4 linked regions of the Drosophila melanogaster genome follow. The protein of the gene in region 1 interacts with the protein of each later gene in a pairwise test. Each region holds a gene or a part of one and is shown in the gene's direction. Other genes may lie near its edges.

What was found.
Region 2: the proteins of Sou (region 1) and Atpalpha interact in a two-hybrid assay, tested with the Drosophila melanogaster proteins (one large-scale study listed by BioGRID).
Region 3: the proteins of Sou (region 1) and Hou interact in a two-hybrid assay, tested with the Drosophila melanogaster proteins (one large-scale study listed by BioGRID).
Region 4: the proteins of Sou (region 1) and CG12857 interact in a two-hybrid assay, tested with the Drosophila melanogaster proteins (one large-scale study listed by BioGRID).

What each region holds. Positions count from the first base shown.
Region 1 is NT_033778.4:21,013,897-21,021,711, reverse strand, and holds Sou (souji), read left to right. Parts: upstream 1-4,265; 5' UTR 4,266-4,511; coding exon 4,512-5,810; 3' UTR 5,811-6,118; downstream 6,119-7,815. Other genes in the region: RIC-3 (RIC3 acetylcholine receptor chaperone), read right to left, coding at 395-521, 579-719, 1,471-1,625, 1,853-1,972, 2,130-2,325; CG9346 (uncharacterized protein), read right to left, coding at 6,132-6,524, 6,585-6,946, 7,007-7,259, 7,319-7,502, 7,557-7,799.
Region 2 is NT_033777.3:20,944,896-20,953,586, forward strand, and holds the start of Atpalpha (Na pump alpha subunit), read left to right. Parts: upstream 1-3,884; 5' UTR 3,885-3,910; coding exon 3,911-3,934; intron 3,935-8,691. UniProt on the Drosophila melanogaster protein: This is the catalytic component of the active enzyme, which catalyzes the hydrolysis of ATP coupled with the exchange of sodium and potassium ions across the plasma membrane.
Region 3 is NC_004354.4:18,647,410-18,654,464, reverse strand, and holds Hou (houki), read left to right. Parts: upstream 1-4,020; 5' UTR 4,021-4,194; coding exon 4,195-4,312; intron 4,313-4,372; coding exon 4,373-4,932; 3' UTR 4,933-5,069; downstream 5,070-7,055. Other genes in the region: CG6659 (uncharacterized protein), read left to right, coding at 44-169, 275-479; Ing3 (inhibitor of growth family, member 3), read left to right, coding at 1,502-1,601, 1,678-3,638; Nup35 (nucleoporin 35kDa), read right to left, coding at 5,105-5,949, 6,009-6,159.
Region 4 is NT_033778.4:14,757,407-14,765,164, reverse strand, and holds CG12857 (uncharacterized protein), read left to right. Parts: upstream 1-5,562; 5' UTR 5,563-5,608; coding exon 5,609-5,682; intron 5,683-5,739; coding exon 5,740-6,490; intron 6,491-6,545; coding exon 6,546-7,043; 3' UTR 7,044-7,258; downstream 7,259-7,758. Other genes in the region: Spred (Sprouty-related protein with EVH-1 domain), read left to right, coding at 928-1,105, 1,166-1,334, 2,091-2,246, 2,369-3,126; Trs31 (TRAPP subunit 31), read left to right, coding at 7,384-7,559, 7,615-7,758.

The sequences.
Region 1 (7,815 bases):
TAGGCACACAACATCTAGAATGAGTACATCTAGGTAAATGAAATAGAACACATAGTCGCTACGATACTACGATACCAAATGAGGAGGACATATTTCAAAACTCAAAAGGCCTTTGTCGAGGTCTAGAAACTCAAGATACGAACGAAACTCTATGGTCATCTATGCAACCATCTATATATATCTGGCTTACTTGTCTGATGCTCTCGCCAGCCTGATACCGTGGCATGATTTTCGGTGTGCATGGGTTTTTTTGGAAGCAGAAGAGTACAAAATGCGATTTTTTTTCGGTTAGGATTGAATCGTGAGTGCGGTGGCTAGAGCGATTGTGTGTGTGTGTGTCCAACTACGAGTGTAATAATCCGGAAGATGGCATCCGAATTGGCCTGGCACTCACCCAGTTTGCTGCCGCCCAAATCCTCCACCTGGCTGTGGTTCTGTGATCCGAAGACCTCCTGCCGGAAGGCAGGATTTGGAGGCGCCGCTCCGTACGGATCATTGGGAACTTGCTTCTTGAACATAATCTGCATGTAAGAGTTTTATAGTATTATAATTACATATATACGATCAAAGAGAGTCACCTTCATTAGGGTGTAGCCGAAGAAGACTACGATGCCAATGGTGTAGAGTGGCATTAGGAAGCCCATGCTGCTGCCCCGCTGTTGTGGCTGATGCAGTGCACCGGCGCCCATGGGTGGACGCATTCCAGGAATGGGTCCAGGCTAGAAAGTACATACATATGTCAAAAGTTACTGAAATACAATAGAATGCCGCCAACAATCAAGGTCATATTAAATGTATCAGGTATACGCCCCGGTGGTTTCTTAAGTCAATTGTCTTTAGATATTTTTGAACTGATCGAATATGTATATTCTATTGTCCTATGTAATCATAAAAATTACGTATCCGCCGCGATGTATATTGACATAAAGATTACTCAAGACAGTTGTCTTCGAAATCTTTTGAATTGATGTCTTTGTAGGAGAAGGGAATCGATTGTGTTTTATTGACAACCCATGTAATCATTAAAATTACGTATCCGCCCCGTTGTATTTTGACATGAGGCGAGGACAGCTGATTTGTGCTCCCCGGCCATTCTAGCATTCTAGTAGCGATGAGAGCAAAATGGAACTGGCGCACTGAATTTGGCACAAGTTCAATACGCAGCAGCACATTCGGCCGATCTCCCACTCATCATTTACAAATTCTTTTTTTGTGTTTTCTTTAGCGCTGTCTCTTGCCTTCAATTTGCGTGCAGTGTCATAAAAACAAAACCCGAATCCGAATAAAATAAACGTTTGGCTATTTATAAATGACTTCCAACGCGAGCGCGGATATGTCTCATCCCGCCGTCATTATAATCACATCGACCACAGCCCGCCGACCAGTATAACTATATATATTATAATTATGGATTTATCGTCCGGAGAATAATGCACACCGTATGGTTAAATGTATAGTAGCCCAACTCACCCGTCCGTCGACAATCCGCGGAGGCGGATTACTGGGCGAAGTCTTTCGTTCTAGAATCGGCACGGTGGGCGTGGCGGGAATGGCGCGACCCCGCTCCCTCATGGCCTGGTATATGGATTCCGGATGCAGGTGGGCGGGACGCTCCTGGCGCAGACCTGCGACCACAATGGATTCATTAGTAACACAATTAAACTATCAAATTTTTAATTGACATAAACACTACATTTTAGAAACCCAAACATTAATAAACTCATTAATACCGTAAAGGTTAGGAATCTAAATGTATCTCAATCGATTGTTTCATGTAGATACAATCTTGTTAGTAGAGCCAAACACCGTTAGTAAAACCAATAAGCAAATTATAAATAATCGAGCCACATACTTATTTCGCCCGTGTAAACATTGATTTGCTTGCGATACAAATGCGGACCGAAGGGCTCGACAGTGTCCTTCTTCGTGGCATTCAGAAACTGCTCCCTGTCCAGGACGACATCACAACATCCTACAACATCGACCGGACAACAACAACACCCACATACGGAAATCAAAAGAAAATCATGATGATAATTCATAAATAATAAATGATAAATGAAATTAAGTAAAGTACAACATTTATAAGCCCTAGCTCCTAATGTGGTGAATAGAATCTGATGACTTACCGCCTGGTGCTGCTCGTGGATCCTTGAAGTTTGGCTGGCTTGGAGGCACTCCTCCGAACATCATGGGATGGAAGACCTTTGGCCACAGGATGGCAATGCATCCGATCACGGTTACGATGATCAGGGCGGTCTTCTTGGGCGTCATGCCCTCCTCGACGAGCGGAGCTCTCGGCTTGGATGTGGCTGTAGCGGGCATTTTGGCTTGGTAGCGGATTCCGTGGGCTATCTGGATTCGTTTGGCTATGGGTTCGTGGTTAAAGCTAGTCCCTAAGGCAACTCTGCTATGTGTTCCTGATCGATTTGGTTCGTTGATGGCTCCCTGCGAGCTGTTGACTATGCGCTGTGTTTCTAGTTGCTGTTTAACTTTGGCATTGGCTCATTTTGGCTGGCTAATGGTTGATTTGCTGTACGTTTAAAGCATTATCTGAAAGATACATAGATGCATAATCGGTTACACGCTACAGTTCGCTGATTCCGGCTTTCGTTGGAGTTGTATTCACATCACTGATCGGTCACGAATCGCAGCGCAAAATGCTGTATACGTTTGAATATTGTTGCGGGAAAACAAAAAAGTTTATTACATAAATAGCGGTCCCGATCTTTTTTATTTTTAGCTCGCGCAATTCGCTCTTTTCGGCCCGTCTAATAATTCTTTATTATTTTCACTTTTCCCACCGCACAAATCACAATTAACGACCGCATAAATAATATTGAACGTTTCTCCAAAAGAAAATGCTTTCGTATCGCTTTTGGAAAACGGTTTTTGAACGACCAAGGGTTCGAAAAAAAATGAAAACAGAAAACTGGACAGAGCGACTGCTTACGCAAAGTTCGAATGTTGTTCCCGAACTGGCCAGGCAAATTTTTGAAACTATTAGCGAATTTTCGGCAGATCAGATCTGAAGACCCGACACACCATTCGGGCGCGCTTTTCCCCATAATCGTCGTCGGCCATTATTTTCCTTTATTTTTGATGAGACAAGTGATTTGCAGCTTGGGCCTGCACCGGGAATTTCCGAGAGCTACGCTACAGCAGCCGACATAACATTAATGCTCTCTAATTCATTTCGGAAATAGATTTTAAATCAAAATACATATAACTGCTTGGGAAATTGGGCAAACTTAATTTGAAATATTTCAGCAAAAAAATTTTATAATATAATTTTAAATTTAATTTTTTGAGCTATTGCTGCTGTTTTGCTGACCAGCACTGTGTGCGAAATTTCGTGTTTTCATATTTTTCATTTCGCAGCTTCTTCGCTCTTGTTATCACACACGCACACACACACTGCCAAGTGCTATGAGTTTTCCGACCGTTTTCCATTTCGCTTTCAAGCGCACTGACTGAAAAGTGGCGAAAGTAAAATTGTTTTTACTATGCACGTCTGTTATTTGCACAGCATCTTCTTATTTCCACCACTTTTATTTTAAAAATTTCCCTCTTCTTGTCACTGTCTACATTAATTTGGAAAACGTTTTTCGAGCTCTCTGCGCTTTTATTTTTGGAGGCACAGCATTTGTAATTTGGGTTCAATGCCGTTCGGCTTAAGACTCATCACTTATTTTTAAAAATTATGAATTCAAAGTGTGGAGATTTTGTCCTTGGAATTGCTCTCGTGTTCTGAGGTACCTTTTAAATAATTATCAGTTTCGTTTTTAAAGACTAACACCTTTGGTTTCAAAGTTCGTTTTCTTATCTAATTACGCTAATTTCAAACTGTTTGTTTGTCGTTATAAGTTTCTCTGCCAGAAAGCAGCAGCAATAATAATTGATTTTTCAGTCGACCGAACGGAGATGGGCAGCATTGGCTGTCAATCGATGCATGCGAGTGCTATCGATACTTTTCTATCGTTTAAAGTTAACGGATCCTTTACACTGATAGAAGGCTTATGGGATTTAATAAATTTTTGTATATTTGTAATTGTTTTAAATGGAATCACATTATTATTAATATATAAAGGTCAAATATATATTTGGTTCGTAAAATGGTTACTTTATTATGCATTATTATGATGTTAAACTAGACTAACTATATATAACTAAGGATCAACTAAGGATCCAATATAACGGTAATACGTAAAATGCGGAATATACAAATATTAATTCGCTCAGCACTGTTGCCCTTTATCGAAATTAAAATTATTCGATTTATCGATAGCATCGTGAGTGGTCCACCCAGCTCCAATGTTTTCGTCTTCTTTGTGTTATAAAATTAACAATTTATAAATACGCATTTTCCGCTGGACCACCGAATATCGTCGTGACTTTGAAGAATCACAGTGCTATCAATCCTCGAAAGCAAAAGGTTGTAAAATCGAAAGTGAACGCGCGCCTGGCGTGACTGGTTTCTAGGCTTTCACCCCACGAAACTGGAGCTAACAATGGACAGCGAGTCGTTGGCCTGTTCGTCGGTGGAGAAGGACCTGACCCGAGTGGTCAGCAAACTGGAGCAGCTTCACGAGAACGCAGAGGCGGACATCGGAGATATAGCCACACAGATGTCGGAGCTGGTAGAGGTTCTCAGCAGGGCGGAGCAGCTGGTGACCACTCTGAACTCGAGCACCCAGGTGTCCCAGGACGATCCCATGGGCGATGCGGTGAGCATGCAGGTGGAGACGGAACCGACGGCACCACAACGCCTAACCGAGCGCCAAGTGGAGAGCGTCCGGAATGCTCTCGCCAGGTGCCACGAGCGCGTGCAAAAACTGTCCACGGAGCACCGCGATCTGCACGGCTCCATTTCGAAGATCGGCAAGGCCATTGACCGCAACTTTAGCGCCGACTTCTCGTCCACCATGCGAGTGGACGTGCTGCAGGACGAGGAGAACCTGATGTTGCTGAACAAGGCCATTGCCAAGCATTATTGTCGCCAGGGCATGGACGATGTGGCTCGCACGCTAATCCGCGAGTGCAAGATGTCGCCGGAGCATGCCCAGGATGTGTTCGACTCGGAGCGCGAGTTTGCCGACATCTACGGCATTTGGGTGAAGATCCAAAAGCGGGATCTGACTGACGCCCTCAAGTGGGCAAAGATGTACTCCCAGCAGCTGAGTGACCGCCACTCGCTCATAGAGTTCCGGCTGCACCGCATGCGTTTCATGCAGCTGGTCTCCTACGGATTGGACTCGCAGCGCGAGGCCATCTCCTACGCTCGACTGAACTTCAAGAAGTTTGCTGTGCGCTATGAGCACGAAATAGCCAACTTGATGGCCAGCTTTATATATCTGCCCAGTGGACTGGAGAACTCGCCTTACAAGCACTTCTTGGGCCAGGAGAAGTGGACCGAACTGTCGTTCATATTCCTCAAAGACGCATGCCAACTGCTAGGCATTAGCAAGAACTCCGCCCTGTCTGTTGTGGTCAATGCCGGATGCACTGCCCTGCCCGCCTTGCTCAATATCAAGCAGGTGATGCAGTCGCGCCAAGTCCTTGGCATGTGGAACGGCTGCGACGAGTTGCCCATTGAGATCGATCTGCAGCCGGAATTCCGATTCCACTCGATCTTTGCCTGCCCCATATTGCGCCAGCAGACTTCCGAGGACAATCCGCCGAAGAAGTTGACCTGCGGTCATGTCATATCCAACGACGCCCTGCACAAGCTGAGTGTTGGCCACATACTGAAGTGCCCCTACTGCCCCGTGGAGCAGAATGCCGAGGAGGCTGTTCGCATCTACTTTTAAGCCACATCTATGTATTCACCTTATGATAATCACCACTGCTTATATGACCAGGCTCAGGCGGTTCGAGGACTGGTGTTGGTTGGCCGGCTTTCCTTAACAAAACGTAACCATTTTAAGATAGCTTGCTTAGATTCATGTTTTTAGACAAATTCGCAGAGCGGAATCGAACTGCCTGGGCCGTCTGTTTTGCGTGTGTCCCACTTCCTAACAAACGATTTAGATTTAAAATTATATATACTGTGTATTTAAAACAAACGACGAAAGTGTTTTTATGTAGAATCCATGTTTAATTAAATACAAATCGTCCGAAGAGCAGACACTCTAGTGCCTATGTTTGTGCTTGTGCTTGTCGCTGCGATGTCTCGGCGGCGATGGCTCTTCTCTGCGAGAGGAGCGCGAGGAGGTTGGAGAACTGCGTGATCGCGACGATCCGGAGGCAGGAGTTTCGTAGCGGGAGCTGCGAGACGACCGCTCTGTATACCGCTTCGGTGAACTGGACGGACTACGCGACCGATTGCGTTTCGAGGATTTGGATGAGCGCGAGGTTTCGGGTGAATAGTCACGTCGTTTGGATTCGCCACCAGAGAACGGCGAGTGGGATCGTTTGCGGGAACTGCTTCTGAACAGCGCTGGACTCTCACTCACCTTGGAGCTCTTGGATTTTATGTGCATGTAGCTGAGCGGGGAGTCTACAGTTGCCTCAGATCGCGAGTCCTGTTCGTTCGCAAAGAATTCAGTTGTTACATCCGACTTACTGTATGTTACAAATCTTACCTGTTTAAGTAATCGCTTCCGGAATTGTTCCACTTGTTCGGGGACACTCCAACCTGGTTCCAGGCGGCGCTTTCCGGACTCCAGTTCGTCCTGGTACTGAATTGCTTTCGACTCAATGTCTCTTAACTTCTGACGCATCTCGTCGGTGTACTTTTGCGGATTGTCTTCTCCACTGTCGTCGTCCGAGCTAAAGAACTTCGGTGGATCTGGCGGATCGAGAGTGTCCCATTTGCTGGTGGTAATCGCCTGCGCTTCTACTTGCTGGGGATCAACTGTCTCCCACTTTGAGGGTATGAAGCCAGGCAACTTAGCCGTAGATTTGGTTTCTTTTTCCAACGGTACACCGTCGAGATCATCATCCACTGGAATTAAGGATTATTTACTTAGTAGTAAGAAGGTTTAAATCACTTTCTTATGCTTACATGGTATGCCATCGATTTCATCGAGGTATTCATCTTTCTTAGGTGTGTCACGCTTTGGAGTACCAGCATCTGCATCAGGTATGGCTCGCTTCAAGGCGCTCTTAAGCAAAGCAGCTCCATCTAGTGGCACTCCGTCTAGATCCTCGTCGTCCTTTTCCTCTCCGGAAAGGGGCGCACCGTCGATATCTTCGTCCAGAGCCTCATCAAATCGCGTTTCCTCGGCTTGAGGTGAGTTATTGACTGGCTTGACGTACTAAACACAAGATTCCATTAGACTACATGCACAATTTGAAATGAATTTCATTAACTAACAGGTTTGCCCAAGAATTTGGCCGTCAGCTGGGCCATAAAATCCTTGGGATAAATGGTCCATTCCTCCCATGTGCGGATAACATTGCAGACTCTGGATTTAAAGCCCTCAGCTTTCAATCTACTCTCGATGTTCAAGTAGTAGTTATGCAGGTTATCAAAGATGTCCAACAATTGTTTTTCCACACTAAATAATAGGGGATATTTCAATGTGTATGCTTTGATAAACATATATACATACGATTTACGGAAGAACGAAGCATTCGCAACTTTAACAGTGCAGTTGTGCAGTATATCTGAGATCAGATAAAGTCGAGCAATCTTCTTTGAAGCCAATGTATTGATATTTGACAGAGACTCGGCGATGCACTCGCAGATTTCATCAGCCGCATCTGCGTGCTCAATGCAGAAGATCATGGCATCTCCAATGCGGGCGCGTTCAGGAGTTAAGTGCCTAATCAAATCCTCGAGTCGGTTGCGTTGCCTATTTCAGTATACAT
Region 2 (8,691 bases), on another chromosome or scaffold:
AAGCGGAAAGTGCAGTTGAGATAAAGTGGCATTAAAATGGCGTTTTACCTTTTCGGCATAATTATTAAGTTATTATTAAACGAAAGTGAAGCTATGCTGCTATATTTACTCTGGTTAATCTGTATATCTAGCCAAAAATGAAATAACTATTTCTAATATTGTATTAAAGCGAACATTATGTATACATTTAAATGTATTTTCTTTGCTCCCATAACTTGAATTATTTATTAAAACTTAACAATATGGTGGTACTTCTTTGTGCACTTACTTATCATTTTATGCCGCTGGGCGGTGCGCAAACCCAAATGCTTGGATTAATCCGGCTGACTGCTCTTTGATGAGGAACCCGAAGCTCCGTTTTTGACCGCTTCAGTCCGCACTCGAATCGAATCGAATATAAAACTCGCGAAATGGTCACCGGGTATTTCCGGGAAATAAGCCACGAAACTTTAAAACTCGCACTGCTCTTTTGCTTTTCAGGACGAACTGCTGATGGCTGATACAGATGCTGTTGCTGCTTTTGGTGTTGCTGTGCCTGCTGTTGCTGCTGTTGCTGCTACTCGTGCTGCGTTTTTGCGTTTTTGCCGCGCTTGCCACCCAAGGACCCAACCAGACGAGGACTGTCGATGAACTGTGCGTCCAGCAGCTGTTGCTGCCCGGTGTTATACGGGCCATAGCACAGTTGGCACAGGCGGCGCGTCCCCAGGCACAGTGGGCCATCGTGGTGCAATTCACGCACACACGGCGTATGCGCAATGTCGGAATGGCAGGAGAGCCGAGCGAGAGACCGAGAAGCCGACGGAATTTACTCACGCAACGGCGGAGCAACAATTTGTTGACGAGCCGGGACACAGCCACGAATGCCAGTCAGCCAGACGGGCGGAAGGACGGAGGACATTTTGCTATTTGTTATACGGCAGACAGGCAGCGTCGTCCTGTCCAAAGGCAAGAAATAAGACCGGAAGCAAGAAGTCAGCGCGATAAGCAAACGAGGGGAAAGCGGAGCAAAAGGGATATCCTCCTCTCTTGCAGCTGCAAATTCCTGCTGTCTTTCTTTGGTAATACGAAGGGCGAGAGCCAGGACGAAGTCACCTTTTCCTTGTTTGTCCCTTTCCTTGCCCCGTTCTGCTGCGGGAGAACACCTGAATTTTCTTTCTTTCGACATTAGCATAATCGGCTGTAGTAGTAGTTGTGCCGTGGAAATTAAGTTGGCGCTGGATCTGCCCCTGTGCTGCGCCAGAAACTTACTCCGTGGCACACGCGGCGTATGCGCAATGTGCGGCAACTGTTGCTTGGACCCAAAAAGGGTGCTCCGCTTCCGTTCCCACCGTCCCCTCCACGACTCAATAAATATGCATGAGCAGGAGGCCAAGGGGCTTCAATTAAATTTACTCAAATTGCGGTTGACGGGACAAACGGCTGCTGGTGTGCAGCTTTTTTCTGCGTGAAGGAGGTCGGAAATTTGCATGCAAATATTTTCGGCATTTCCTCTGCTGGAAATTTATTTGTTTTTTTTTTTTTTTGTTTTTTGCCCTTACTATTTTTTGCATTTATTATGAGCGTAGGCAGAAAAAGCGGCACAAATTAAGACGCCAGCTCGTTGATGCGTGTCCTGGTAGTGTTAAATTGCGAAATGAACTTAAGTGAAATGAGCAAAAGGAGCTGGAGGAGCACGAGCTTTAATGGCCAGCATTCTGGTCCTTCCGTTTGGCTCCAAATTGGCGGCCTGGATGGGGGATTCCAGGAGCCTGGCAGAGCAAACATGAACGAAAAAACATGAAACGTGCCCAGCCTGCTAAGGACATTCATTACGCAAGCTATGAAGCTGCCTTCTCCGAACTGAATCCAACCATCGCAGCCATACCCACACACCCCCCCCCCTCCACTTCCTACCCATGGGCTTAGTGGGCTGGCCACGCCTCCTATTGAATTATTCCAGTTTTATTTCTCGCCATTTGGCTTGGCACACACCGAGGCATCCGACTCGGCCGTGAAGCTGACTCCTTGCCGCCGGTGGCCCGGTTGTTGAACCACAAACACCCAGACACACAGAAACACTAAGCACCAGCACGCAGCAGAGGCAAAGACACCTGTTGATTGGGCCTTTCAGGTTATTTGAGCCAAAGCCAATGCCAAAGCAAAAGCAAAAGCGAAAGCCAAACCCGAAGACAGTGGCAGTGGCAACAAGGCGATTTCCCCTCAGCTTATGTGGGCTCAATTTTGTAGTCGAGCCGGCTTCCTTCTAATGGCCATGGGATATTGAATCGATTGACGGGGCCGCAGGATGAGAGGGCGGGCAAAAGGATGGGCAAAGTGGAAAGTGGGTTGCTCTGCAGCTGAGCGAAAAGTCGTTTCGCCTAAGCAACCGCAGCCCCTTTGGAGCTGCTTCCTTGTTTGTGCTCGTGTCGACAACAATTGATTTCAAAATATTAATTAACCGGATAAACCAATTGAAGCTTCCGGAGAAGGTAAGGGCAAATGAAACCGTGCAAACTGTGCTCTTTGTAAGAGTGTGCAAATTTGGCATTTCCTTGTAATTGGTCACCGAATTGATCAATTGAATGAATCTGTAGAAATTTAGATGCCATTTTGCTGGGAAGCTAACTTAGATAGAACATGCTAGCCTTCAAGAACAAAATGACTTGAGACATCTAATTATCCTGATTATATTTGGGGTTTAGAGTTGCGATAAATTCAGCTTCGACCAAGTGGAGGTCAGCATTTCGGATGATAAAATGAGATCTTGTGCGGACGGAGATAAGTTTTCCAAATGCCTGGTCGTTTGGAGGATTGTTATGTTTATAGCTCCATTACACTGACAAATTGGAAGATCTTCGTCTTGAGTTCCACATCGTGACTCGTACTTATCAATAGTGTTCTCAATTAAATTCATAATTTAATTATAATCAATTACGCGGTCTGTTGGTTTCGGGCGAACCTTCAGTTGGTGCTTCCAATGATAAGTTGCTGGATAATGATGACGAGGGGTATCAGGTGTATCTTGAAATTTAAGTATAATTTAATTAGTTTAAGTAAGCTGAACTTATAATCTCCAAGATGCGTTTTTCCCCACAGGATCGTCGAATTGCTGAGCCTTCGAGAATCTCTGGCCCGTTTGAAGCCATTCATCGCAACAATGATCAACGATCAATACTGAACATAGGAAATAAATTTGAGAAGATTCAAGTCCAGTTGAACATTTCTTGGAGAGTAGCTAATTTATACGTTTAACGAACGCCATCTACACTTCGTTCTATCTGCCACTTAAAATTATTTTGCTTATACAGCGCCACCTATGTTTGGAATGCAAGAAGACGCGCGTATTGTATTTGGTATTTTATTATCTCTTGAAATTGAATACACATAACTATAACGTTGGCAACTCTCCATATCTGTAAATATTCAAGATGGCAACTATCGTAGTGTGTATATTTTAATCTGGCAGCTCCAGTAATTTTCACGCTTGCAGTTGATATAAAAAGTACATAAAAGTATGTTATTTCCAAATTGAGGTGAAAAATTAAACATATTTTTAACTTGGTATTTTAAATTAGCAATTATTAATGAGAGTATTGAAATCCAAACATATCCAGATATTAATATTTGAAGGTAGCATAGTAACAACTTTCGGTAAATAAATATCCAGGTATATTTAAAATACTTAACTTTTCATTTTAAATAAACCAGACTGTTCGGACTATTGACAAATTATAATAGTAATTTTATTCATAATGCAATATTTACAATTACATTTTCTTAACCGATTGCCATCCCGATTTCTACACCGGCTTATTCGATACAATAGGCCGATAACTCTCCATTTGGTAGTCACGACTTCTAAAATATCGATACGTTGGAATTGTGTAAATTTTCCACATCCCTGGGAATAATCGAGTTAAATTAAAATAACATGGCGTTAAGGTCGGATTACGAGGTGAGCAAAAATAAAGCCTGGATTACGATGAAAACTAAGTTAGTTAAGTGAGAAAATGGTTAAGTTTAAACTGTTGTTAGACCATGACGAGGGAACCAAAAAGAACCAGGGCCAAAACAAATTGGCCAAGTGATACGCTGAGCGGGCGTTGTTTTTAGTGGGAAAAATCGAAGCCCGAGTGCGCTGTGTGGGTGTGTGCGTGTATCTGTGTTGTGTACATTGCTTTTGGTGTTGTTCTTGCTGCTGCTGCTGCTACTACTATTTGTTTTGTTGCTGGTGAAAAAGCGAGAAGCAACGACAACAACAACAAAGCCGAGGCGACGCCCAACGAAGTTTACTAATTTGTTTGCGGGCTTTCGGTAACTGCAAACGGAATCGAATGTGAAACGGGGCGCAGTTACTAATCCTATTGGATCTGGATGGGCCTATATCCGCTTACCTGCTGATCTGTAAAAATAGCCTGGGCTTAGAGCCTGGCTTTTGACTTTTTTCTCGAATTTGTATTCGCTCTCCCTTTCTCTTGCTCTCTCTCTCTCTCTCTGCCTCTCTGTCTCTCTCTCTCTCGCTTTCCAGGTGCGCTTAGCTGGCATGCGCAATTTGCATTTCCAGGCCGACCAGTTTCCCAAATTTTCCACTTTCCCGGCGCGAAAGCTTTTCGCTTTTCCGTGCTTGGAAATCTTCCAGTTTTCGGCTTACATAACCGGTACTGCTGCCGCCCCTCCCGAACCACGCCCCATTCCGCCGCATCTCGCAGATTTCATTATTGGAATCTCGAGCTCTAGAACGAAACTACCCTGCATAACACGTTTATTTTTCCATTTTCCGTGCTTTCCCTCCTTCCGGAATTGGTGTCATTGGGCCGAGTAGTGCGCTGCTAATTACACACACTGGCACATTAGCGTAAATCGACGTACTTCTTACCGTACTTTTTTCTCAGTACGTAGCCCTTACTTTCCCTTCCCTACCCCCTCACCATTCGATTAGTTACTAAATGCCCCACCGATGACGCCACTTAATTACCCCGCAGAAGGTAATGAGTTCTTCGCCAGGGTTGTTGTTTCCACCCGGGCTTTCGGTTCTGTTCCTAGGGCTAGACCACCAATTCTAAGTCCGTATTGCCAGCTCTATTGATTTTGGGGCTTGTCTAAGGGCAGGTCACACACACGCACGCACCCACACACATACTGGTTCGACGGCCCGAAAGTATGCAAAACTATAGAGCAAGCGGTCTGAATCCACTCGCAACAAACAGTGGGTCCAGATATTATTTGTAACGGGAAAACTTGAAAAGAACGCTTAAGACCTCACTTAGACTTGAAAGTGTCTTGTAGAATATATTTAGATATTATTATATAATTATTATAATATATATTATATTGTGCATATTTGTATTGTTATAAAATTAAGTATGTAATTCCAAAATTACGTCTTTATTAGTATTGTAGTGGTATGCATATTTTAAGAATCAAAATAAGTTACGCAAATTATTTTAAGTTTAAAAACATTTGTGGTTGGGTTTATTGGGTTGGGTTTCATACAATTAATTTTATAAAATATGACGCATTTCCCAACGGATTTTCAAGGGCAAATTCTGATGATAATATTGTTGGTGTAGAATACAACGTTGCATAATTATTATAATTCAATCTGCCGGACTACGACATCTTATATCTTAACCCAGTGTGCTCAGTGGAAATTCTATTATGATTTCACGCACAAATCCGCGTAAAGCTGAGTTATGTACGAGTATATCTCACATCCCCCCACCAGCGTTGTGGCTTCGTTTTGTATGCTGACTCATGCGCTTTCAATTGAAGTCAATTTAAGAAAGCACATCAAAAATCATGAAACTACAATCTGACGATGCTCTAAGAACGCGATAATGAAGTTCCCTTCCTCTCAATGTGCGTTCCATAAGTAAATGATTTGGAATTAAGGGCCAGCCAAAACGAGAACTAGTTGGTATATGTATGTATGTATGCATCTACCCGTTTATCAGTCGAAAAATGCAGATAAAGCAATTAAGAGTTTATGGAGAGGACGGCAAATAAGCTGAATAATGTGCTTCCAACGTGGTAATGGCAGGTTCTAAATGCTAACACCCAGGATTTGAATACTATCAGCAGTTATCAGCGTTGACATGTAGTACACACACCTATACTATATATTAACCAGATATTTTGTGCACCCGAATAGACGGGCCCCTTCCCTTTTTGACCAGTTTTACCCGGCTCGGAGATTTTAGGTTCGCGTTAACTACTTAACAGATTGCCGATGGCAGTAAAAGCGACAGTGATAATAATTACAACTGGAAAATACCAGAAAACCGTCCGACAGAGGTGGTGACTTGCTTTCGGCAATCAAAGCGTGGCAGCAAAACAATATTGGCCGTTTTAATTCAATTACGCGCCAATAAAAATCTAATCAACTGACAATGGCAAACCGTTTGAATAGATCTTGTTGGAAAAAGCCATCTACGCTATGTGGGCATCATCAATTGGCGGCCATAATCGCAAGATGTGGAAATTATCACCTCGCCCATTGACTGTTTGCTGTCACATCCAGCACACAGATTGCATTCGACAAGGACTTCGATTTGTTTCGCTGCGGTGTGATATTTGGCACATGCCCAGTTTGCGTCAATGGGTAGGGTCTTAATTACTAACGATTGCATAACCCGCTATTAGGGGTCTGGGCCTCCAGTTTCCCAGGTATCGGTATCTGTATCTGTGCCTTTGCGCTATATTTACCTTTCGTCTGCTTATCAGATAACACTCGCTCGACCAACACTTGTAGATTAAGTTCTAGAGCGGTACGTTGATTTATTTTCGTTTTCGTTTGTTTTCGAGTTGGTCTCCAGCTTGTAGGTCTCTCAAGGTCCATCGATCATTACCCTTCAGGGGTGGCTTAGTTCCGAAGGGGTAGTTTATTGTCCAGCTACCTGAAGTAGCTGAGCCGGAGCTCAACAATGGCTCAATTGTTCCTGTTCGCCACCGGTTCAAACGAGTTTCGGGCGGTAAGACGAGATTTGTGAATCTCCAGAACTCTGAACTCGTCTTGTGTCACGCACTTAATATTGTCTGAACGACAACAATTACCGCAATTACCGCGAACGCATTGTGGGAGGAAGTAAACGAGCTGGGTCGAGATTAAGCCGGCTCCACTGGGCAATCTGTAATGCATAGCTAAGGAAATGACATAACTTTCGAATATTACTCGGATTCAATTGGCCGGTAAAATGGGAAGGCATAACAAATGAATAAACACAAAAAACAGCGGGCGATCCAACTATTCTAGATCGAGTAAATAAATATATAACCCGCAAGAACTCGCTAAAATCGGATTTGGCTGCCACTTGTCCGTGGGATTTCTTTTGGCACTGGAGATCCATAAAAAAATAGCTACATATACCTGCCTGCCATAAATGTTAAAATCTTGGCATTTCGAAACGAAAATGGAATGGAAAATGTTTTCCAAATGATGCAAACAATTGAAAGATTGTTCGAATTCTCGCAGAAGATACATACAGTTGTATATGTAGCTCAATTGTGTGTGAATCTGTGCCTGTATCTTTTGATTCGCACTTTGCTTGTTGCCCGACGCTCCTTAAATCGTCATAATAAATTTTTATTTAATTTAATGCCTCATATGTGACGACAATATCAGCAATTGCCGCCACTTGCACACAAACTCGGCCTGTCCGTAATTTGTTTTAATTTAAATACAATTTAATACGCGCTGCTGACGTTGCCATAAAGCTACTTTTGCAGTCACGATCGCACAAAAAAAAAAAAAAAATAAAAAAAGTGCCTTTTTGGCCAAATGCAAACAAATCGAAATAAGTAGCGGACAAATGCCAATTTGGCAGTAGCCGAAAATATCCAGCTATACGAAGTCGAATCAAATTATCGCACCGCTCGATAATGAGAAATAATTGTGGTATATATGTCGGGCAAACAAATAACCGTCGACAGCTGTAATTGGTTTTGGGTTCCGCCACACTTGAGCTGAACTGGTTTGCGTCGTGAGCAGGTGAAGTGCGTCAGAGGATGGCCGATGGTACCGACAGATAGTGGATACCTGATAAGACGCCACTGATTCGCAATCGTTATATTTGGGTACGGTTACCGGGCAACCTTGGTGTGCGGATCTAGGCGGCATTACCGCCAGGAATTCGCTGTTCAGATCCCTTGTACCTATTCCAACTGTCTTCCAATTAGACGTGCCAACGTGCCACAAATCGCTGGTTTTGAATGCTGCCGCTCAAGTAGGTTAGCCAGCACACTCTCAATTGAGGCTGATTTAGTGCCAAGCGGTTCCATTGAGCGGTGACGCGTGTCATCCCGATGCACCCACCTAGCCCACTCCGAAACTCTGGATCAGAAGGGGGTTCTATTGATTTGTGGGTGTCAGCGATATAGGAAGCATATGCTTCAGCAGGCGTGTGATGAACATCCCCAAAAGGGTGTTGCAATCAATCAATATTAGATTTGTGCCGCAACAACCAGTAGTTTTTAAAGTAATGAGTAAATAATTAATGGATCATTACATAAAAGAACAGAACTGTAGAATGTCGTTCTTTTGAAAATGTGTAACTATCTTTGCACTCCCTTTCCCAGCCTCAAAGCCGACTAAAATATATCTTTCACAAGATCTCCACTATCAGCTGGCTTTTATGGAGATGAAGTGGCAACTTGTTCGCGGTTTTAGGGCCTTGAAGAGCACCCCCAAATAAAGTGGATATCTATATGTATATA
Region 3 (7,055 bases), on another chromosome or scaffold:
CATGCACGTACTGAAACTTCCGCCTTTGTTTATCTTTTTTAAGGGAGCGCACGGAGCACGTGTACTCGGTGTACAGTCGTCAGCAGTCGTCGGATATCTACAACCAGTGCGCCCAGCTGAAGATCCAGTACTTGATCATATCGCTGGACGAGTGCACCAACGAAGTGCGGTGAGTAGACGCAGACAAAATCCTCGAGACGGGCACTTGAACGCTTAATTGAGATATTGTATTCTTATCGCATTAATATGTACTTTTGCCTGCTTTCTACAACAGCGACGATTGCGATCTGCTGGCCATTTGGGATGACAAGCAGCCGGCCTACCAAAAATACCCACAGTTCTGCCACGAGCTGCTCCACAAGAACGTGCCCAGCTTCCTGAAAGTGTTCGCCAACGACCACTACGGCATTATCAAGATGTTCTCGCAGAGCGTCCAGATCAACCTCAAGCACAACAAGATGCCCGAGATGTCCATATAGGGCTGGCCGTCCACGGAGGCGGCGCGATGATGGAATGCTGGAATCGTGTTGTGTTGTACGTAGCTGTGTGAGCTGTGTGACTAGGATTTAGCATTTTACGATGTGTGTGTATTATGATTACGTTTAGTATTGCCCCAACCTCGGATGCCCGAACACATCTCGCACCCAATCCCAAATCCCGATCCCGCGTAGTAGCTGATTTGATATGGCAGATTGGCGATTAGAAGGAGGCCCCTTCCGCTAGATAGTAAACTGGATGCATTTAGCAGCTTGACTTGTTTCCGCGCCGCTGCGTTCAAACCTTGTTTGGATCATTCCCCGCACCCGCACCTGCGCCTGCGCCCTCGCATTCGAATAAGTTAATCTAGCCGAACGGAGCGACCTTAACTCTAAATACTTTCGTTAAGTTTAAGCTAAGCTTTTTACATTTACGCATGTAGTATACATATGACGATGAGACGCGTGTGGCAACGAAAGTGGCTGCATGTGGACGATGTGCATCCGGGAGCCACGATCCCAGACCCAAAAACAAGCGGGTAAACACGCATTTGCCAGGCAATAAGTGAAATAAAATGATATATTTGAAACAATCCTATGGGCATCTGTTGTTTGTTTATATCTTTAAAATGCTTACTCCTTATTGTTCACAACTTTTGAACAGTAAAAATGTGAGTATATATTTGTTTTGAAATATATTCACATTTTTAGTTTTATACAATACAGCTTATAATATGTAAATAAATAATATCATTAATTATGATTTCCATTTATACAATTTATTTAAATTTCGAATTTCACCTTACAGGGTTTGTGTCGCAGCTATCCACCCTGAGTTTGTATCGCGGTTTCGAGTCGATTGCTTAAATATCGATATTATCGAGCACTACCATCCGCATCTGGGATTAACTTCGTTTCGCCATCCGGTCACACACATACCCGCAACAATACACGAATTTTCATTAATAAACACACAAAGTAGTTAAAATTTTGGGTTTACACCGCGGCCCATTCGCATCGCCATCATGCTTTACCTCGAAGACTATCTGGAGATGATCGAGCACCTGCCGCAGGAGCTGCGCGACCGCTTTACCGAGATGCGCGAACTAGATCTCGCCGTCCAGAGTAAGTGCAACCAGAGAATCCGAATCTCTGCTTTTCGCCGGATCACTAACCAATAACTGCTCCTTGCGGTGCACAGACAACATGGACTCGCTGGACAAGAAGGCCCACATGTTCTTCAAGCAGTGCAAGCGCGACGAACTGCAGCACGAGTCGATGGACACGGAGTTCCACAGCCTGCGCGGCGAGTACTTCAAGGTGATGGAGGACGCCGACGAGAAGGTGGCTATTGCCACTCAGATACACGAGCTGGTGGAGCGCTACTTGCGCCGCCTGGATAGCGAGCTCTTCAAGTTCAAGTGCGAGCTGGAGGCGGACAACAACGGCATCACCGAAATCCTCGAGCGCCGCTCTCTGGAGCTGGACGGCAACTCCACTGCAGCCACCGCCCTGCTGCTGAGCATGAACCAGAAGGAGAACCGCTACTACGGCGCCAGTTCGGCCAATACCATGGTGAACAGCTCGACGGGACACGCAACGGGTGCCGCCACTGGCTCCTCCGGCATTGCACTGGTCAGTGGTGCTGCCGGAACGGGCGGTGCCCTCTCCAGCATCTCCACCGCCCAGTTGGGCTCAAGTCAGCGCCACCGCAAGCTGGAGAAGCGGCGGGAAACCATATGCACGGTGCCTGTTCAGGAGAAGCGCGCCAATCTGAATCACTCACTTCCCGTGGTCGGTTCGGGCTCCACGACTGCCGCGGCAGCCTCATCTTCGTCCGCCACAACGGCCGCAGCAGCCGCCAGCCTGGCCAGCGCGACGACTGCCCAAACTCATGTCTCCAACCACATTGGCAGCATCGCCGCCACTCATCTCACCCTGCCTGTGGCCATGGGCGTGGCCGGCGGCAGTAGCAGTCTTGCCAGCAGCTCGCTTGCCACAGGAACGGGTTCGCTGGTCCGCCAACTGCCCACGAACCTTACCCACACCGTGCTAAGCACCTCGGGTGGAGCGACCGCCGCAGCGGCAGCGGGCGGCAACTCCACGTCCGTGGTCGCTGCTGGTACGGCCCACGGGCACGCCCATGTCAGTGGGCACTCGGCCGCCGGGGCCACAGTCACCTACAACCTGCAACAACTGGGCGGAGGAGCCGCCGCATCTAGTGCCATTGCGGCGGCAGCCAGCCAGGCGATCGTGGCCACACAGCAGATGCAGCAAGGCCGCCGCACGGCCAGCCTCAAGGCGAGTTACGAGGCCATACACGGAACAGCGGGCACCACCACCGACTTCTGGACCCAAGCCGGTCAGGGTGGACTGCAGCAGTCGACCGCTGGATCGGTGACAGTGGCTGCCGGCACAGCGTTGGCCACCGGCGCAGCTGGCGGTAGTAGCACCGGCTCGCATCATTCGCACCACTCACAGTCGCACCATGGCGGCCATGGGCACGGACATGGTCATGGCCATGGGCATGGTCATGGGCACGGACACCACAGCAGCAGTGGTCACGGCGGCGGGCACAGCAGCCACCACCAGGAGAAGAAGCAAAAGAAGAAGCTAACCACAGCGCTGACGTTGCCCACAGTGCAGCCGACGGCCGGCTCCTCGTCGGGCAACTCGATTGGCTCGTCGTCGTCGATTAGTCTGGAATCGGTGAACAAGCTCACCACGTCGGCGGCCCTGGCGGCGGCATCGGCCACGACAACCTACATGTCTGTGGGTGGACAGGCGCTGCTCGCCATGACCCCCGGAGGTGGAGGCGGAGGCAACTTGGCGGAGAGTTCCGCTGAGGGCGTGCCCGCCGGAATGATTGCCATGAACCTGCCCACCACCACGGTAACGCCCGGCTCCAGCCTGACCATCGGCGAGAACGGACTCGTGGTGGAGCAGACGAACGAGGGCGAATGGTCGTACGATCCCAACGAGCCGCGCTACTGCACCTGCAACCAGGTGTCCTACGGCGACATGGTGGCCTGCGACAACGACGCCTGTCCCTACGAGTGGTTCCACTACCCCTGCGTGGGCATCACCCAGCCGCCCAAGGGCAAGTGGTACTGCCCCAAGTGCACCGCCTCCATGCGGCGCCGTGGCAACCGAAAGAACTGAGGCTGACTGCGCCTGCTGGCGCCCCTCTTCCGTGGCGGGGGCGGCGGCGTAGGCACCTGGTCGCGTCGCTAGCGGCTCTTATACTTGTAAAGTGACAAATAAACAAATTCAAAGTATTCAATAAAGTTAGATCAGCAATAGAGCAGCTCTTTATATTCAGTTCGGAACGCAAAGGCGAATAGTGGATTGGGATTGCACTAATATATCTTAACTAAAGTAGTTTAAGCCAGCTTCTAGCTTAAATAACAAATTTAGGGTGTTTTCGCTACAATAATAATAAACAATAAAATATAGTTCATTCGATAGTTTGATTTCAAAATTCGCGCCCTCTTGGCAATCAAACAGCGTGACCATGCTGCGCTTGCTAAAGCACTCTGGTCACGCTGAACAGAAGAAAAGAAAATTTCCAGCGTCATTTGTGCATTGCAAGTTAGTAAACAATAAAAGCGCATAAACAGGGCTAGGAAAAGCGGGAAGACGATTAGGTAAACAGAATTCGACGCAAATCGGTTGGAAAAACGGCCTCAAGATTGGCAAGATACGCAAGAGCAAGAAAATGAGCTACAACGAGAAATCGGAGGCCATCATCAAGGAGGAGTGGCTGCAGCGCCTGGAGCAGTTTCCCTTCAAGCAGGCGGACATGAATCGCCTGATCATGAACTACTTGGTCACAGGTGAGTCCGGGTCACCAGCCCGCAGCCACAGCAAGCAGCTAATCAAGGGCTAATCCACAGAGGGCTTCAAGGAGGCCGCCGAGAAGTTCCAGCACGAGGCGGATCTGGAGCCCAGCGTGGAGCTGAGCAGCCTCGATGGGCGCATACTCATCCGCGAAGCCGTGCAGGCGGGCCGCATCGAGGAGGCCACCCAGCTGGTGAACCAGCTGCATCCTGAGCTGCTCGGCAGCGATCGCTATCTGTTCTTCCACCTGCAGCAGCTGCAGCTCATCGAGCTGATACGCGCCGGCAAGGTGGAGGAGGCCCTGTCCTTTGCCCAAAGCAAGCTGTCCGAGTCCGGCGAGGAGGCCATGTTTGAGCTGGAGCGCACCCTGGCCCTGCTCGCCTTCGAGAAGCCGCAGGAGAGCCCCTTCGCCGACCTGCTGGAGCAGTCGTACCGCCAGAAGATCGCTAGCGAGCTCAACTCGGCCATCCTGCGCTGCGAGCAGAGCGAGGACTCCACGCCCAAAATGATGTTCCTGCTCAAGCTGATCTTGTGGGCCCAGTCCAAGCTGGACAGCCGCTCCATTAGCTATCCCAAGATGAAGAACCTAGAGACGGCGCACCTGGAGCCCAAGTAGAAGGGCAGCGCCACCCCCTTCGACTTCTTTTGCTAATGCTATTGCTAATATATCTCCATTTAATAAGTATGTATATGTATGTATGCTGGATGTAGGCAGTGAATTATTAAATAAGTAGCCGGAAACTCCATCACTCCATCTATCCATCCATCCGACTTGCCATCAGCCCTTCTTACCAGCCGAATATCAGGTCCATGGCCTTGTCCATCAGACCGGAGCTCTTTTGCGGCACATCCTTCTGCGGCGATATGATGTTATCTTTGCGGGCCAGCTTGTACGACTGCTGGGAAAACGGTCGAATCGCACTGGGGCTGGTGGGGGGATCTCCTATCTCTGCATTGGGCACAGAGCCGATGTTCTCCTTATCGATCACCGACCTATCCGTGCAGCGCGACACGCCCACCATCACATTGCCGGCGATGATTTTTTCGTTGTAGTTCAGCGCCTTGTCGCTCTCGATGCGCGAGGAGTAGCGCACATACATCCAGTTGCCGTTCTGCGGGGCATGCACCACGTCCACAATGGTGCCGCAGACGGTGAAGTGCTGCAGCACCATGGAGCCGGCCCCCGGCGGGAACCCGAAGATGGTAACCCAAAAGTCGGATAGGCGCGAGTTGCCGCCCGTCGTCACGGATGTGCCCAGGCCTCCAGCTGGCGAGGCAGTGGCTCCAAGTGGCGAGCACAGTGCTCGCATCGAGGCATTGATGGCATTGGGCGCCCCGGGTGCGAACGAGTCATTCGTGTGATAGCTGCTCTGGTAGCTCTGGTTCGGTGACTGCAACTGCAGCATGCCAAGATGGTTCTTCTTCTTCGGGGTGACGGACTGTTCGCGCAGCGAGTCGAAGAGTCCCTGGGTGGGCGGTCCCGTCTGGTGGTGGCTGTGCGTCTGGCCGTGCGCGGTCGTTGAGCTGTTGGCGCCCACAGCCGTGTGGGCGCCTCCTTGGGCGGCGAACAGAGTGCGTGTGCTCAGAGCGGAGCGGTTGAGCTCGTGCGGACTGCTGCCGCCGGGCGAGGTGGCTGCGGGGCATGTGTTCATATAGCCAATGCGTACGAGCTGCTTGATGCCGGCTACTTACCGAAACTTATATTAGAGCGCCCGGTTTTCGGGGACAGCGTGTTCTTGTGCGGCGTTATACCTTGCGGATCGCCGAGCAGAAAAGGTGGCAGATACTGGGTCTGGTTGGAGCCAGGACTGTTGACCGGGCTGCCCAGATTCATTGGCTCCATATCGAATGCGAATATTAATTATAATAATTATAACGGCGAAAAACGAAAAAGCGTTGCATTAACAAGGACGCCACAGCTGTAATCGGTTAGTGCGACCAGGCTGGGCTGGGGTCGAAATGCTAGAGGTGGATGCCAACATCGATGTCATCGATGTTTTCGAAAAATCACAAACATCGATGTTTTTCAAAGAATCATCGATGTTTTTCCATCTTTACTGCGCATCGTAGGTTAAAAGTGTTTAAATTGTGAGTATAAATTAAATTTCCAAATTTTCCAATTTCCATTTATTAATAGCATATTGCAAATTTTCAGTGACTTGCTGGTGGTCTTGGCTGGCGTCGTGGAAGACGACACGTATATTTATGCATGTATGCATGCGTGCACCTGCTCGTATGCATACTGGCTTACTTTTCTATTGAATTACTTTTCTATTGAATTGCATTAATTAGTATATTTGATTTATAGGAGCAATTATTGGACCAGGGGCGGATAAAAACGTAGACGGCAATAAGCTTGTCATGTTTAGTTATAGTACTGCCTTTTTATTTAAGCAATTATAAAAAAATAATAATCTTTAAGTTAAGCAGTTAATTTTTTTGTTTTTATTGAAAACATCGATGTCCGCCAACATCGATTTCTCCACCTCTACTAAATACGCCGTTCTTCGCAGTCGCGCCGCGCAACTTGCACTTTTGCAGCTCCCCGACTGGCAGTGGGCACATTTCGTTTCCCCCAAACGGTCACTCTAGCGGCCACCTTTCAAACAACAACATCACGCGTCGCGTCTCCGTCTTTTTCCTTTTTTTTTTTACATTAGACTACACTACGTTCTCCTGGCGTTTCGTTCGTGTCGCGCGTGATTAAATTGGCAACTGAGAACAATAAGAAGAAATCAC
Region 4 (7,758 bases), 6.3 Mb from region 1:
AGCGAAACTAGGACAAGCATGTGTACATATGACACGCACACCGGTGCACACACATGCACCTAAACCCCTCCCCTTAAGCACACACACACACATACACATTCCATTGGACCAGTGGAGTTTCAACTCCCTTTTTGGAGCTTTTTTCATTGAGTAACTCCCTTTTTGATTTGCCCGGGAACTCTGTCCCCTATTTAAGCACATTCAATTTATGCGAAACTTGTGCGCAGGTCATAAAAAACTCGATTTTATGCTCCCCCATTCATAAGGCGAGGAAAGTCCTTAGCTCCGAAGTTGCGGCTTCATTTTCAAGAATGAAACCGTATATCATTTGGCAACCCCAAGTTACATACAGATTCTTTATAGCTGAAACCGCTTTTAACATAACATTCATTTGGGAAAAGTATCTCAATAAACTCGGAATGTTCTTAATTGAAGACTAGATGAGATAAAGGTATATATATCCTTGCTTGGATATATATATATATATATAACGAAGGACATCCAGATATTTTTAGTTTATATTGGCTTTTTACCCTCGCTTCAATGAATCAATTTTTGCTGATGGCAGGTGCTACTAGTATCCTTGCTATGGCTTCCTTGACGGTGCCAAAAAATTGAATTAGCCAAATTAGCGACACTTGTGGGTTATCCTGTCGAGGATATAGAGGCAGCTCTGGTACCTCGATGCCTCTCATTCGTTTTAAACCATTGGTGCATCCAGCATGGCTACGGTTTCCTATACCAAACTTGGTCCCAAACGCAAAATAAGCAGGTGGAATGGCTACTGATTTTAGTATTTAGGCTAAGATATGTCTAGCATGATAAGCTCACATTAAAAAATGGTTACAAAGAGATATTAAAATGAAGATTAAAATTGTATTCTCCATCGAAACTAATGCAATTTACACCAATTTTTTCATTTCACAGCGACTTCTTAGTAACAGTACGCGCACAGGTAATGACCAGAGACGAGAGCACCGAGGGCTGGCTTCCGCTGGCCGGGGGTGGCCTGGCCAATGTTTCGATCCGGAAGCGGGCTAGGCTATCCCCATTGGCATCGGGTCATGACTACATCATCTACGGGCAGAGAATATCCGATCAGAGCGTGAGTATAGATCCCACACTAGAATATGCTGTTGATATTAAAATGAATTACTTCCGGCAGGTCATCTTGAGCTGTGTGATCAATCGTGATCTGAAGTATTACAAAGTAATGCCTACATTTCATCATTGGCGCGCAGGGAAGCAGCGGAATGGACTCACATTTCAAACGGCCGCCGATGCGCGAGCCTTTGACAAGGGCGTCCTGCGCGCCTACAACGAGCTGATCGATGGTAAACCCCTGCCCGAATCCTCATGGCTGAGCCCCAACTACCATCTAATGTACCAACTAGTTGCATGACCGGCTTGCACATCCCGTCTCTCTATCTCTCTCTCTCTCTCTGCTTTCTGTCAGCCCGCTTTAGTTGCTATTTGATTCCTACTGCTTACCTTCTCATGCCGAAGCCACTTGCCTTTCTTTCCTCCAAATCTTCCAAGTCTCTGACTTAGTATTGCTTTCGTTTACTAATATATATATATATATAACTTTTTGTATGTCTTATGCTCTACTTTTGCCACAATACCAAACGAAAAACCAACCCAATTATCAAACATCATCACACACAATCACATTGGAATATTGCAAATTGTTTTAAAAATCAACAAATCAACCAAACATTTAAAACTATAATTTCACTCAAATTGGTAAGTGTTAAATGAGGCCGTACCTCGAATTTAGTTTTGTGTGTGTGTGCTGTTTGCTTTGAAGAGGAACATTGCGCTGCTCGATCACTTCAAAATTCTCAGCACATATATGTGAAATAGTATAGTCTAGTCCACACTAGTAGGTCACCACGTTTCGATGAGTTCTTTTCGATTTTCATGCTTACACTTAGCTGTATTCTGATTATACGCTCGTCAAGATCTATCTTCTTTCTGTACAACTTTAAACTGTTCTCTGCTTTGCGCCTTGCTAAAAAACTTTGCTGTTTACTCATAAATAGTTTGGAATTTATGATGACTAAACCTGATTCATTTACCTTATCTAGGACTGGCCAAATCGAATCCAACGATAATATGCCCACCGCTAACCAAATATGATTCGGTTGGCGAAGATGATGTATTCATGACCCTGGACTTACCTGTGGAGAGCGAGAGTTTACAAAAGATCCATTCAAGCCCCGAGGGCAGCGAGAAAAGTCACAGTAAGTGTTGCTAAATTGGGTAAAAAAAAAAAAAACAGGTGGAATCAATTAATGAAGATTCACTTGATACCCAATGACTAATCAATTGAGAGCACATCTTTAATCCATCGCTTACCTTGCAGAGAGCGTCAGCAACAACTCCGACTCGGAGAAGCTGCCTCCGCCGCCCATTCACTACATATCCACGGACAAAACATCGGCCACCACGTCGCCGCCAGACGCACCGCCCGCTTCTGCTGCTCCATCGCCGGCGACGGCCGGCCAGATAGCGGCCAGTGAGAACTACTCGTACGTGACGCTGACGGCGGTGCACCACGACTACAACTATCCGGTGGTGGACCAGCCGGTGGGGGCGCAGGTGCTCAATGCTCGCAGGGAGTCGATCAGTGCACTAAAGAAGCGCAACGCTCTGGAGGCAGCGCAGGCGATGGCGGCGGCTCAGACGGCGGCGGGTGGTGGACTGGCCTGTCGCGACGGCGGATCGGGAAAGCCACTGCACAAGCCAAACGTATCCGACATACTGAAGAAGGAGACGCGCCTGCGATGCCGCTACTGCCACGAGCTGTACAGCGAGGACTTCAATCGGCGGGGCGCCTGCGAATATGCCCCGGATGCGTTTCGCAGCGGCTACGAGTGCATCTCTGGGATGGGCTGTGCCCGTTGCATGATCTACCACTGCATGAGCGACGCCGAGGGCGAGACGGCCCAGCATCCGTGCGACTGCAGCGCCAGCGAGGCCGGCTGCAGCAAGCGCTGGCTGGGCCTGGCGATCCTCTCGTTGTTCGTGCCCTGCCTGTGGTGCTATCCGCCGCTCCGCGCCTGCCACTTGGCCGGCATCCACTGCGGCCTCTGCGGCGGGCAGCACAAGCCGCATGTCTGACATTTGGAGGCCCGCTTGCAAGGACAGCACGATGATGACCCCAGGCCCAGAAGCGAATTCCACTACCACCACTCCGAGCAGAGCATAATGAACAGCGCCAAGCGTCCGTGGGGCGCCAAGCAGAAGCAGTCGCAGCAATCACAGCAATCGCAGCGTCATTTTTACAACTGGGAGCTGTCGCACAGCTTGGGTGCTCCCCAGCATCAGACTCCGCCGTATTTAATGCAATCAACTGGCAGGAAGGCACCGCAGAACGATTACGGACGCTTGCTGTTCTAGGCTTTATCCATGATGACAGCCTGAGGACTCATTTTTACAAACTGATTACCAAGAAGTACTGATTATTTCACCAGATCTACGGTATCTTAAAGATATCTAAAAGTGGACAAGGAAATGTTTTTCTGATAAATGGCAAGAAAACAATGTTTTCACACTGTTGAGATGAAAAAATCGTGTCGATGCAAAAGCACAGCTTTTTCAAATCGGGTGAAAGAAGAATGCGTAAGAAGCAATTCAGCTTGAAAATCAGTTTGCCAAAATGGGTCTGGGGTTCGATTTTAGTATCATTTCGGTATACTCCATTTGAATTGCCATAATTAATTGTATATACAAAAGAGCAGGAAGGATTATGTATCTAATTTTAATATACTTTTAAAATTGTAACTTATGTTTAGTGCTCTCGCTTAATTATAGTTTTGTAAAAACGGGCTATTTGTTTTTATTCGTAACTGAACACACATTTTTTTGAAAAATCAAAATATTATACAATGATTGTTTTAGTTTTAGTTGTTTAGGGTTTTTTGCTATTTTACACTTGCTTGTTTACAATTCGAAATTGGAGAACAGTATTAAAAGGCCAAGGCGAAGGCAAAGGCGAAACGAGAACTAAATATATTTAAATGCGATTTTCTCTGCGCGATTCCAATTTGTTAATCAATGTCACGCGCTCAAAAACTCACACGAAAAGTTCAAACAAACGGCAACCTGATGCGCAAATGAATAAAAAAAAAAAAATCGAGACACGCAACAACTCGGCAGAAGAATTAGTGGACGACGACGACACGGCTGTCGAGCCGTTCTTCTCCGAACCTGAAGAAGAATTACAAATTGTATTCGATTTACTCCTCTAGCAAAAGAGTCTGCGGCAATGCTCAAGTTTTGTGCGTTCGCTATGCTCGGCAATTGTTACTTAAATGTGCTTTAGTTCAGAACTATGTACCCATTCGGTTGCCTTATAAAAAGGATGTTTTTGTCTCTTCTTAGGGCTCATGAAGATTCAAAATATTCCTTTTGCCCCAAACTCAAAACGTTTGTTTTCCAAAATCTTTTGTTCAGACGTTGAAATAGAATGAGAAACCAATTAGAATTAGAGAGTCGATGGACAAACAAAGAGCGCAGCATTGCTCGATTGGAAATCTTTTGCAACTAAATAATTCTAGAATGCGAAGCAATTTGTAATTTTTATTGAAATGCCAACAACTTTGGGCCGTTTATAAAATGGCCGAAAGAGGAGGCATTTGAGCAAAGGGGTAAAAATAAAACAAAAACAAAAAACAAACAATTTAAGTGTTTTCAAAAAGTCAACAAACTCATATATGCAGCTATATATATATATAAAAATAATAAAAAAAAAAACATTAATTTATTTCTTACTATATAATTATTGTTGTACTAAGTCGGTGAGAAAACCCATGAAAGAAAGAAATTCACACGAAAACTAAAAAACAAAATGCATATTTATTAAAAATAAGCAAAGGTTGTGCAAAAAAAAAACACATTAAAAAGCAACATTATTATTGTAAAAATTAACTAAATACGGCAATTGTTATTAAATGTGCAAAATTCAGCAAACACATTGATACAAACCTCAGAAAATACAAGCCAAGATCTGAAAACGGACATCAATGGAATGCAAATTTTTGAAAATATAAGGCAAGATGAACCGTGAACGGATCAAACAGAAACGGAAACGGAAACAAAACACTCAACAACAAGAAGTACAAAATGTTAAATATGTATCTATAATTTACAATTACGTTTTATATTACTCTCTAATTTACACGCTTACACAATGGAAAAATAGCTAACTATTATTGCAATCGTCCTCAAACACACAATAAAACTAGATCAAAAGGCGGAATTATTACTTTAGCTAAAATAAAATATCACCTTTTGCAATTTGTATCATTTTCTTACCCTTATTGTTTCACATCGAAATCAGAAAAAATAGTTAAAATAGCCGCATATACTCATATTAAATTGAAAAGAAACGTGTCATTGCAGAAAAGGATAAAGAAAATAGTAATATAAATGATATATTTATTCATATAAATGTATTTGAAAATGTGAACAAAAGAATACCAACAATAAAACACAATTTAATAAACAATGTGAAAGCTACGAGTGTGTTTTTTTTTTAAAACACTTAAAAACACAGTAGCCGTGCAGTCAAAAATCCAAAACAAGAAAACCAAATTTCGAAATGGAGGAGCTAATGAGGCAGAACGGACAGAAATGCGAGAGGCAGGAACTCACCTGCAGCGTTTTATTTACCAAGTGAGTTAATCTTAAACCAGTCGGAGTAATCTTAAAATATTTTCCTTCTCCTTGCAGTCCCAAGCTTAGTGCCGAGAAGTTATCCTCCAATGATGAAATAAACTCCATTGCGAGATTCGTATCGAAGGCGGAGGATCTCGAAATGCATAGAGTGTTCAGTAAGATATCAAAGAATGGTGTCGAGGAGACCACGTCTCTGAATCGCTCCCTCTTCGAGTTCGGTCATAATTTCGAGGATGCCGATGGCTGGCTGAAACTGGAGCAGCCTTGCAAGGATCGGCTGGCCACGGTGCTGCGCTACATGTTCGAGTCCCATCTGAAGACCACTGTGCAGATAGAAATCAACAATATGTACTTCAATTGCCACTTCATCGTGCTGCAGGTGTACTCTCGCTTCTTTAGTGAACTGGAGATGATTCCGCTGCTGGTCACCCTGCCCGAGAAGATCGTGTCCCAGAAGGCCTTTATGCTCTCCTACAAATGGATGCTGAGCGATGAGCCCGTCCTGGAGCTGGCTCACATTGTGGAGGTCTATGTGGCCGCCACTTATTTGAGGATCTCTGGTCTGGCGGCGCATTGTTGGAAATATTTCGATGATGAGGAATACTACAACGAGGATACGGCATGTGTCCTATACGTCGAGTCGAAGGACAATCCCGCCATGGATGTAGTTCGCAATTTGATGCTGACTAGGATCCGCAAGTTTCTGCTCACCTTTGTGGCCACCAGGGATTTCCTCGATCTGCCGACCTCCCATCTGATTTTTTTGCTCGAATCCGATCAAATCTGTGTGAACACCGAGATTGAGGTGGTGTTCAACATAATATTTATAGTTATTATTGCATTTTATATGTTTTTCTTAGGTTTTCTTTATAGCTGTTCGATGGCTGGGTCACGATTGGAACAAGAGGAAAGTGCACGTACGTCGTTTAATGTCCTGTATTCGATTCAACCTGATGCCATTGTGGTATCTACTATATGCGCGACGGGAGGAGGATCACCCGTTGGTGATGAAGCTGATTTTCAACCCGGAGGTGGAGTACAAGATCGACGAATCCATATCGAGAATAACGTCGCGCATGTACGAGGATGCCTTGGAGGGCAATGACGCACAGAGTGAGGAATACGCAAGTGATTCCGGACAGCGAAACTGGATATGCGATAGCTTGTGCAGCTATTATCACGGCGTCGGTTGTCCCAATACCCGGGAAATTCGTTTCAAACACTTCGAGGATTACCTTTCGGAATTACAACAATGCTCCAAAGATCACTGGTCTCAGGTGATATTTCAGGACCCGAGTAAAAAGATTGACTGTTGCAGCACAAGGAAGATAAAATCGGACGATTTTGTTGCCGATTAACTATTGAGTTTGAATAGTAACGACTAGAATTCAAATTTGCGGGCTTCAGTTTGTGCTAGTATAACAACTTGGCACACTTTTCTGTTATACATTGTACACTTCGTTCATTTGATATTTATGAAACAAATCAGCATATTTTTAATAATATATTTTTTAAAATGTACATCAACATTTTAAAAAAAAAGCAAGTGGTTTAATAAATATAATTAATATTTATTGTATTATTGTCGCAACTTTAAGTGTGACCATTTCTGCAACGCTCTTTGGCATTTCGGGCAGATAGGGTGGCGTGCACACTTTGCATTGTTTTGGAAAATAATTTGATACATTTATCAGGAAAATGGAAAAACTGGAGGCCCTAAAAATATCCTCGATGCGTCCGCGCAGCAACATCCTAGACAGACCACTATCCAAGGGCAAAACGGAGGTTTCCCAGAGCATTGTGGCGCTGCTTTTCAGCGAAATCGTCCAGTACTCGCAGAGCCGAGTGTTTACAGTCCCAGAATTGCAAACAAGGTGGGAGTTTCTCTAAGTTTTTGCGATTAATTCGTTAATTCCAAGGCGTTTTCAGACTCCACGATCTGGGTCAAGATGTAGGCACCCGCATAATCGACCTGTATTTCGTGAGGGAGCGCAGCTCCAAGCGAGAAACAAAACTAACCCAAATGCTTCTCTTTGTTAAGACCACGGTGTGGAAGAATCTCTTTGGCAAAGA